Linked DNA regions of Chlamydomonas reinhardtii. The protein of the gene in region 1 interacts with the protein of each later gene in a pairwise test. Links are inferred from orthologs where the notes say so. Each region holds a gene or a part of one and is shown in the gene's direction. Other genes may lie near its edges.

Region 1 (4,075 bases):
GCCGGCTGCTGCTGGAACTGCAGGATCGAGTACGCCACCACCACCTTGGGCACGGAGCCGTCTGGGTGCCAGTTGACGTAGGAGGCGCTGCGCTTGATGTTGTTAGGGTCTTTGAACACCGTCACCGTCTTCACGTGCGGTGCCTCCGACGTGTGGTCCATCGTCACGTTCGTGAAGTACTCCTGGTAGATGTCCACCGCGTTGTTCTGCTTGATCAGGTCCTCCACTGACGAGCCCAGCTGGACAACTGTACGGATGTAGTCCTCATCCTTCTCCACCTTCTTGCGGTACCGGATCGTGTGCTCCGCTTCCGTGTAGTCAACATCCTTGGGCCACCCGCCCTCTACGTGGCTCATCGCCTTGTTGACCAGGATCACCGCGTTGGTGTTCGCCTCATGCTCCGACATCTCCGGCACGCACTGCGTCACCGTCGTGACGGGGTTGCGCGGGATGTACTCCTTGCCGTGGTCCTCGTTGGGGCGGATGTCCGCAAGCATCTCGCTGCCCTCATCCCCAAACTTTGGAAAGCGGCCAAACTGCTTGCGCAGCTTAATATATTGATGGTAGATCTCCATCCTGGCTGCTTAGCTCCTACGCCAGTGATCGGAGGGGTTCTGCTAACCGCTGCTCTGCTGCCTCCGTGTGGGACGCCGGGCGCGAGTTCCCGTGCGTGGCACGCTGCTGAACGCGGCCCCCCAGCTGCGCTCGTGCCTGGTGACGGGTGACCTGCAGTTCCAGAAACCGGTACTCGGTGAAGACCATATAGTTTCCCCTACGCACGCTTGAATACCCAGTCGCGAATAGCCAAAACGCGACCAACATGGTCCCCGGTGCATCCACTCCAACTGGAGCGCGCCTGACGTCGAGCGTGGCTGCAAACCTTACTAGCACGATAGAACATTGCTACAAGCGCGGCATGGCCCCTGCTTGACCCGCGGCTGCCCGGCTCTCGAATTTCTCCACTCACCGACTGTGTTCAGCAATGCCCAGCACGCTCTAGTGTTCTCATGCTGCTAGCTATTATGTGGGCCCAGCCATTCGGTGCAATAAACACGTAGTAAAGCGCGTGCCGAGGTAGTTCCCGGAAGGGCCTTATAACAGGTCAAGCTATTCGGTGCAATTCCAATCACAATGTAAAGGTGTAGCATGTCAAGGCTGCGAGCAATTCAGAGAAAGTCACGAGGTGAAGAGGAAACTTTGCATCCGGCGTCCTCATCCCGGGCGCTCACGCATTTTCTAAATCTTGAGAGCTAGATCGTTAGGCATAATTACATGTGCACTATCTCAGTTTGTACTGTGGCGCAAAGGCGCAGTTTGCAGCCCCCTTAAGAAGGCGGCATCCGCATGCGCCAAAATGAGTTAGGCTCCAGTCTGCTTACACATATTGCTTTGTAATCTGTAAGACGAGCTAGTCATGGACCGGGACAGAGACAGGATGGATCGCGACCGGCGCGGGAATCGAGGAGACAGAATTACGCCAGTGCAGCTACTAGGGAAGGTATGTGAGGCCAAGGTGATGCAGTGAAAGTGAAGGGGGCAAGGCGGGGATGGCACACCTGAACTGGGCGGCGTGCCCGCGTGGGCGCTGCGGTACCGTCGGAGCTGCAGCCACTTTCGGTGTGGTCCCGTGCAGTGGTTGCCCGACGTTAGCTGGATGTACGCCATTACATGGCAGGAGGGGGTGCTGCAGCACTGGGATGCAGTTATCAGCACAGGACGTCAGTAGACCCACAGCGTTTTGGAGCTGAAAGCACGCTGCGCTTGGCGGGCTGGGTGCCTTGCATTGCCTGAGGCGCAGCTGCCTGGCTCGGGATTCTGCCCGCTCACGGCATGCCTGCACAACGTGACGAGCCGCAAAGTATGGTACCTGATGCCGCTAACAACTCTGAACGGGACAGGTCCGGAACCTTAAGGCCAAGAATGCGGAGGACAAGTACGATGTGGCGGCTTGGGACCAAGCGTGGGACGAGCTCAAAAGCATGCCCCTGACGGAGGAGTCCCGGGCCATCTATGAGGAGGTAGTTTCCGCCTTTCCCACCAAGGTGCGTTGGCGCAATGAGGCACACAGCGCGAGGATGCAAGGGCGGAGGGGCGGGGCAGTGAAGCGCACTGGGCGGGAGGCGGCGGGGGGTACGCGAAGAGGCGCGCGCTGGCGCGCGCTGTGCGTCGAGGCGTTGTTACGCGGGGGTTTTAGGCTTGGAGCGTTGTAGGCGGGGTTGCGAGCGTATCTGGTGTGACAGGCAACGCACGACTGGGCGCGGGAGACGAGGCGGCGTCGCGCCTGGGGGCGCTGTCGTCACCTGCGGGCGCATGGCCTCGTCACCAATACCTGTTCATCTCCATGAGTTCCCTTTCATTACCATCACCACCACCACCATCACCGTCGCCGCCTGCCCTCGTCCCACCTGCCCGGCACTGCCGCAGGCGGACGTGTGGTGCAAGTACGCGGAGCTGGAGCTAGGCGGCGGCAACATGTCCGGCCTAAAGGCCATCTTCCAGCGCTGCCTCATGCAGGTGCCCTCGCTGGAGCTGTGGGCGCTGTACATCAAGTTCATCCGCCGCTCCAACAAGAGTGAGGGCGCGCTACGGGGGGGGACGCTTTGTATGGATGTATAGATGTGTGGGGATGGGGGGCGCCGGGCACAACTAGGCAGACGACAACGGAGAGGGGGCGCAGTGGTGCACAACTGTCAAACTCTACACCATGCGGGACGAGGGGGGCTTGCCTTTATCATCCTGAAGAGGAACATGAGGCGTTAAGCCGCAGGGCAGGGGTGCAGCAGTCGGGACCAGATCCAAGTTGGGGCGCTGCAGCACTTCGCATGGATGGCGCAGCGTGGGGCTGCGGGGGCCGATCGTGGCGTCGGCTCGTGACGTGGTGCATGCAGCCCCATGTGCGTGTCCCGAAAGCACGGCTTCAAACACTGTGTTTGTCGCGTGTGTGTTTGCTCCGTGCGGCAGGCAAGGGCCCTGAGGGCGCGGTGGAGGTGCGCAACGCGCTCAACTTCACTCTGGAGGTGACGGGGCAGGACATCAACAGCGGCCCCTTCTGGCAGGACTGCATCACGCACCTGCAGGGCGCCAAGCCGGGCACCCCCGAGTTCGCGGCGCTCTTCCCGCAGGCAAGTCGCGCGGTGCTGCTTTTGTGGCGTGGTGACCTGGCGGTGGTGGTGGTGGCGGTGTTGACGGCCTGCCAGGACTACCGGACACCGGACATGTTAATATTGCATTGTCCTGGCGTTAGGTCACGTGTTGTCGGTTGCGTGCTTGCTCCTGTCTTTCCTCCGCGTAGGCCATGGCGGGCCAGGAGGACCAGGCGCGGCTGGCGGCGGTGCGCAAGGTGTACCAGGCGGCGGTGTGTGTGCCGCACAGCCACCTGGACGGCCTGTGGCGCGACTACCAGCGTTTTGAAAACGAGGGGCCCAACAAGCAGTTCGCCAAGAAGGTGCGGGGCGGGGCGGGGCGGGGTGCCGGCCATTTGGACATGGAGGGAAGAGGTTCGCATGTGCGCGGTACCTGGAGGAGTCGCTGGACAGGGGGAGTTGCTGGTGACTGTGTGGGTGCAGCAGGAGGGCACTGTGGCCGCGCTGACTGGCTGTGCGCCGCCTGCTGCCTGCACGTGCAGGTGCTGGACGAGTGGATGCCCAAGTACCAGGCAGCCAAGGCGGTGTACAGGGAGCGGCGGAAGCGCACACAGGCAAGGCAAAGTACGGCTGCGGGGGTCTGTGAACGCGATTTGCAGTAAGAGGACGCGGGTGAAGGGGCTGGCGGCGCATAACCAACGACGGCTTACGCGCCCGGTCCCCGGCCCTATCCCTTCACCTGCTCCCCGTACCTACCTACCTACCCACCGTGCTGACTCCTGCACACCCACACCCACACCCGCAACCTCCACCCCCTGCAGCACCTGAGCCTGGCGCTGTGGCCGCTGCCGCTGGGCAAGGGCGGGCTGCTGCAGGACACGCAGGCGGCGCTGTGGCGCGACTACCTCACCTACGAGCGCAGCAACCCGCAGGTAGGGCGCTAAGCCGTGGGCGTCTTGGGCGCGGCGCCGAGGCGACGCGGTGCCCGCTGT
Region 2 (4,147 bases), on another chromosome or scaffold:
AGGAGACGGAGGAGCTGCTGGAGCGCACCGGCCACTTGGCCTCCACCAACCTGCGCACCCAGTTTGACCGCGAGTTTATTCTGCACGGCGAGGACTACGGCGAGGATGAGGCGGAGGCGGAGCTGGATGCGATGCGCAGGGAGGCGGAGCGTGAGGCGCTGATTGAGGCGGGCATTGACCCGGATGAGGAGGACCCGGATTCCGAGGTGGTGGGCGAGGTGCGCCTGGGCTGAGCAGGCGCTGCTGGGCGCTGGGCGCCAAACGTTTTGATGGGGCTGAGGGAAAGTGCTTGCTTGCAGCGCGCAGAAGCGTTTTGGCTGGGTCCAGGACTGGGGCTGGGGCGGCACAGGTTGGGTTGGCGTTGGGCTGCATGCCGGGGCTGTGTTGGCATCGGCGGCATGGGCTGGGAACGGCAGCTGGCTTGGCCCGGATGAGCTGGACCTGGCTTGAGGTGAGGGCTGAGCTGGTACGGCTGTCTGGTGTGTTGGCCGGCGTAAGCAGCTGGACGGCCATCGGCAAATTCACCAATACGAATCCACGGATGGTTTTTTGTTTGTACGTGGAGTCATGCTCGCATACGTGCACGGGGATAGGGTGCTTGGGCTGCATGTACATGTACTATAGGCGACGTCACCCGTGTGGAGCTGCAGCTCGGCATTTTGTATTTGCATGCTGCTAAGCTGGCCGGTGGCACAGTGAAGAGTCTGGCAACAGTGGCTGCGAACGGACCTGTTCTGCGGGTGGTGAGCAGAGGTTGGCAGACGACGGCCTGGTGGTGACAGTTATGCCACGGCGCTTGGGCCCAGGGGAGGATGCGCCGATAGGCATCATCAAGGCGGATCGATGGCAGAAATGTGAAAGCACCATGCGACGTGGCAGTACCGACTTGGCATTGCCGAATTTAGGGGCATCTTCCGTGACAGGGGCAGGTCAGGATGTATGCGACATGGGGGCTCAATCTTGTGCAGCAGGGAAGAACAGACACAGGGGAAGGAGTGAGGGACGAGCAGCTGCGCCTGTAAGTTCCTAGGCTGGGACGAGGAGGGTCAGGAAGCCCCAAAGCAGGAACCTGTGAAGCACGTCCCCAGCATGCATCATCAAGGGCGCAGGGTTGGGCAGGGGGTGGGACACAACTTCGAACAATGCGCACCGCTGTGGCCCACTTTCTGCGCAAGACGTCTGAATACACATGCAGCAAAGTAGGCGGGGGCTTGGGAGTGGGAGCGGCAGTAACGGCGTGGTGCGTGTCATCGAACCGTGCCGCGGCACGAACCTTGAGACCGTGCCATGATTGCGCTTGTATACTGTCTTTCGATTACCAGATACATTCGGGAATCCAATTTTGTCTCAACGTCAACGCACTATAGTATTGCACAGCGACAAGTGTCACCGTCTGTGTTGCCAATTCGGTGTCACTTTCTTTCCCCAAGCACCGCGACTGCAATTAGACAACCTTACTGCCACCATGGATCGACCACCAACATGCACCGTATTCAGTAAGCAGCATTCTCTCGTTCGGCCGCCCTGGCGCGCCATTCTTTGCTTTGCAAGGCGACTCACATATTGCCGTCCCAAATCTTCATGCAGTTGGAAATATACCATACGATGTCACGGAGCAAATGCTCCAGGATATGTTCAGCCAAGTCGGAGCGATCAAGTCGCTCAGGTGCGTGCGGACGAGGCGGCAAGCGGAGCTGGAACCTTATTCAGCTGATATCCGACTTGACGGTGCAGGATGGTGACGGACAAGGACACGGGCAAACCCAAGGGGTACGGGTTCTGCGAGTACCACGACGTTGGCACAGCGCAGTCGGCCGTGCGGAACCTCAACAAGTACGAGGTCAATGGGCGCATGCTCCGAGTGGACTTTGCAGAGGAGCACTCGGTGGACGGGAGAGGGAAGCGCGAGAAGGGTAAGCACACAGGGCGACACGGGGCGCGCAGACGGCGGGCTGTGTTGTGAGCACTAAGACGTTTGAATGCGCATCCCGAACAACTGCCTCTCGGCTGTAATCACCTTGCAGACATGCGTGGAGGCGGTCGAGGAGGCGGTGGGCCATCGGACAGCCTAGTGCCAGCGGCACCACCTGGCACGAGGGTAAGCACTTCGAGAGAAACGGGCAAGCCTCTAGGCGCTATGCGCGTGGCCGGACTGATTGGCGGCGCAGGCGCTAGGCTGTCAGCCCCACTGCACAGCCGCACTCCACGCCACACCCAGGCACAGCCCTCCTGGAAACACCACCAGGGCACCAGCTTACCCATCCATCTGACCGGCTGCGCCATCCGCCCGCAATAAAGCCCCTCCCTTCCCTTCCACCAACACACCACCACCACGACCCCCTTCCCGCTCCCCCCCCTCTCCTCTCCCTTCCTCTGCCCCGCAGCCCATCGGCCGTGACGCGGCCAACGCCGCGGCCACGCAGGCCAACTCGCTGCTGGGCAACGCGCCGTACACGGGGCCTGCGCAGGACAAGATCAGCACTGTGATCGCGGGCATGACGCCGCTGCAGCTGTACGAGATCCTGTCGCAGATGCGCAGCCTGGCGCAGCAGAACAGCGCCACCGCCCGGTCCATCCTGGTCTCCAACCCGCAGCTCACAAAGGCGCTGTTCCAGGTGGGGGCGGGAGGCGGTGGGATGCGGGAGGCGGTGGGGTGCGGCGCGAAAGGGCTGGGCAACCACTCCCTGCTTCAGATGCGTGGACAAGGGTCATGGGCAGGGTGGCAGGGTGGCTAGGCCCGAGCTCGGTTCGCATAGGGCGCGGGCTTTTGCTTCTGCTTGGCTGAACGGCATATGCGATGTGCTGCCCGGCCTGCAGGCGCAAGTCCTGCTCGGTATGGTCAAGGGCAGCGCGCCGCCCTCGACGTTGCCGGCGATGCCGCAGCCGCAACCGCCGCAACAACCGCCGCCCGTGGCGCCTCCGGCGCCGCAGCCGGTGGCACCACCGCCCATGAGCCTGCCGCCGCAGGGTGAGCGCGACTGGGCTGAGAGTGTGTCTCGAGGATAGGTCATACGGCAATTCACTGCCGTTGTGTTGCAGGAGGGCCAGCTGCCGTCCGTGCTATGCCAGCTGCCGTCCGTGCTGTGCAAGGCATTGTTGCTTGAGTGGTGAACACGCGTTTGCATGTGGTGACCCTGATCTGCCACTGGTCTCACACCAACCTCACTCCGCTCCCCGTAGGCGTGGCGCCCGCGATGCAGCCGTACCCGGGGGCGCCGTACGCGCCAGGGCCGGGGGCGCCGCCGCCCGCGCCGGTCATGGGTGGCATGCCAGGTGCGCCATACGGCCCATACCTACGAGAGCGACTCTCGTGTGGGTGCAGGAAGACGTGGGGGCAGTGGCATCCTGCCGGATTGAAGTAGCTAGTTGGTGTTACGGCAGACGTGTACCTGCAAGCTATACCTTTACAGCGCACGCCGCCGATCACGCTCTCCCTCTCCTTGGGCGTCGTTGTGCAACACCGCTTCCGCTTTCACAATGACCGACACACAGCTCAACCACGTAATATACCGCCACACCGTGCAGGCCCCGCCATGCTGATCGACCCAACCACGGGCATGCCGTACACCGCGCCGCCGGGCGCCGTGATCGTCACGGCGGGGCAGCAGCAGGGCGCGCCGCAGCCGCAGCCGCAGCAGATGATGCCTCCGCCTCAGGCGCCGCCGCCGCAGGCGGTGGGGCCTGGGGAGGGCCCGCCCGCCAGCGTGACGCTGCCGCCCAACCTGGCGCCGCAGCAGGCGCAGATGCTGCAGCGGGTGCTGAGCCTCACAGTGGAGCAGGTCAACGCGCTGCCGCCGGCGCAGCGGCAGCAGGTGATGCTAGTGCGGCAGCAGCTGGGGTTGCCGCAGTGAGCGCGGGCGGGTGTGTGTGCTAGCGTGGGTGCGGGTGTGGATGCGGCGGCAGGTAGCGGAGGAACCGCGGCACGTGCGTCAGGCTCAGGACGTGCGGGCTTCTGGATCGTATGGGTAGGGAGGCGATGGAAGTGTCAGTGATGTTCTGGGCATGAATGGACTGCGATTGCGCATTCATCCACCTTGGTTCGGCAGCTGTGAAACGAGTAACAGCGGTTCGGCTTTCGTGCACGACTTGTTGTCTGACGTGAGTCAGTGGTGTTGCGACCCGTTGTACGTATTGATTTGAAGCTGCT

The links. The genes of interacting proteins can lie anywhere in the genome.
Region 2: the proteins of CHLRE_12g506050v5 (region 1) and CHLRE_01g024200v5 interact in binary tests that used the Arabidopsis thaliana proteins (3 or more experiments, as listed by UniProt). The link is inferred for Chlamydomonas reinhardtii from reciprocal best matches to the Arabidopsis thaliana genes CSTF77 and CSTF64.

Annotation. Positions count from the first base shown.
Region 1 is NC_057015.1:2,520,887-2,524,961, reverse strand, and holds the start of CHLRE_12g506050v5 (uncharacterized protein), read left to right. Parts: upstream 1-1,269; 5' UTR 1,270-1,435; coding exon 1,436-1,498; intron 1,499-1,898; coding exon 1,899-2,042; intron 2,043-2,424; coding exon 2,425-2,572; intron 2,573-2,961; coding exon 2,962-3,122; intron 3,123-3,292; coding exon 3,293-3,445; intron 3,446-3,625; coding exon 3,626-3,697; intron 3,698-3,904; coding exon 3,905-4,015; intron 4,016-4,075. Other genes in the region: CHLRE_12g506000v5 (uncharacterized protein), read right to left, coding at 1-575. UniProt on the Arabidopsis thaliana protein: One of the multiple factors required for polyadenylation and 3'-end cleavage of pre-mRNAs. Required for the targeted 3' processing of antisense transcripts that triggers transcriptional silencing of the corresponding sense gene.
Region 2 is NC_057004.1:3,744,242-3,748,388, forward strand, and holds the start of CHLRE_01g024200v5 (uncharacterized protein), read left to right. Parts: upstream 1-1,341; 5' UTR 1,342-1,465; coding exon 1,466-1,496; intron 1,497-1,587; coding exon 1,588-1,666; intron 1,667-1,734; coding exon 1,735-1,913; intron 1,914-2,024; coding exon 2,025-2,098; intron 2,099-2,384; coding exon 2,385-2,615; intron 2,616-2,817; coding exon 2,818-2,968; intron 2,969-3,180; coding exon 3,181-3,273; intron 3,274-3,525; coding exon 3,526-3,851; 3' UTR 3,852-4,147. Other genes in the region: CHLRE_01g024150v5 (uncharacterized protein), read left to right, coding at 1-233.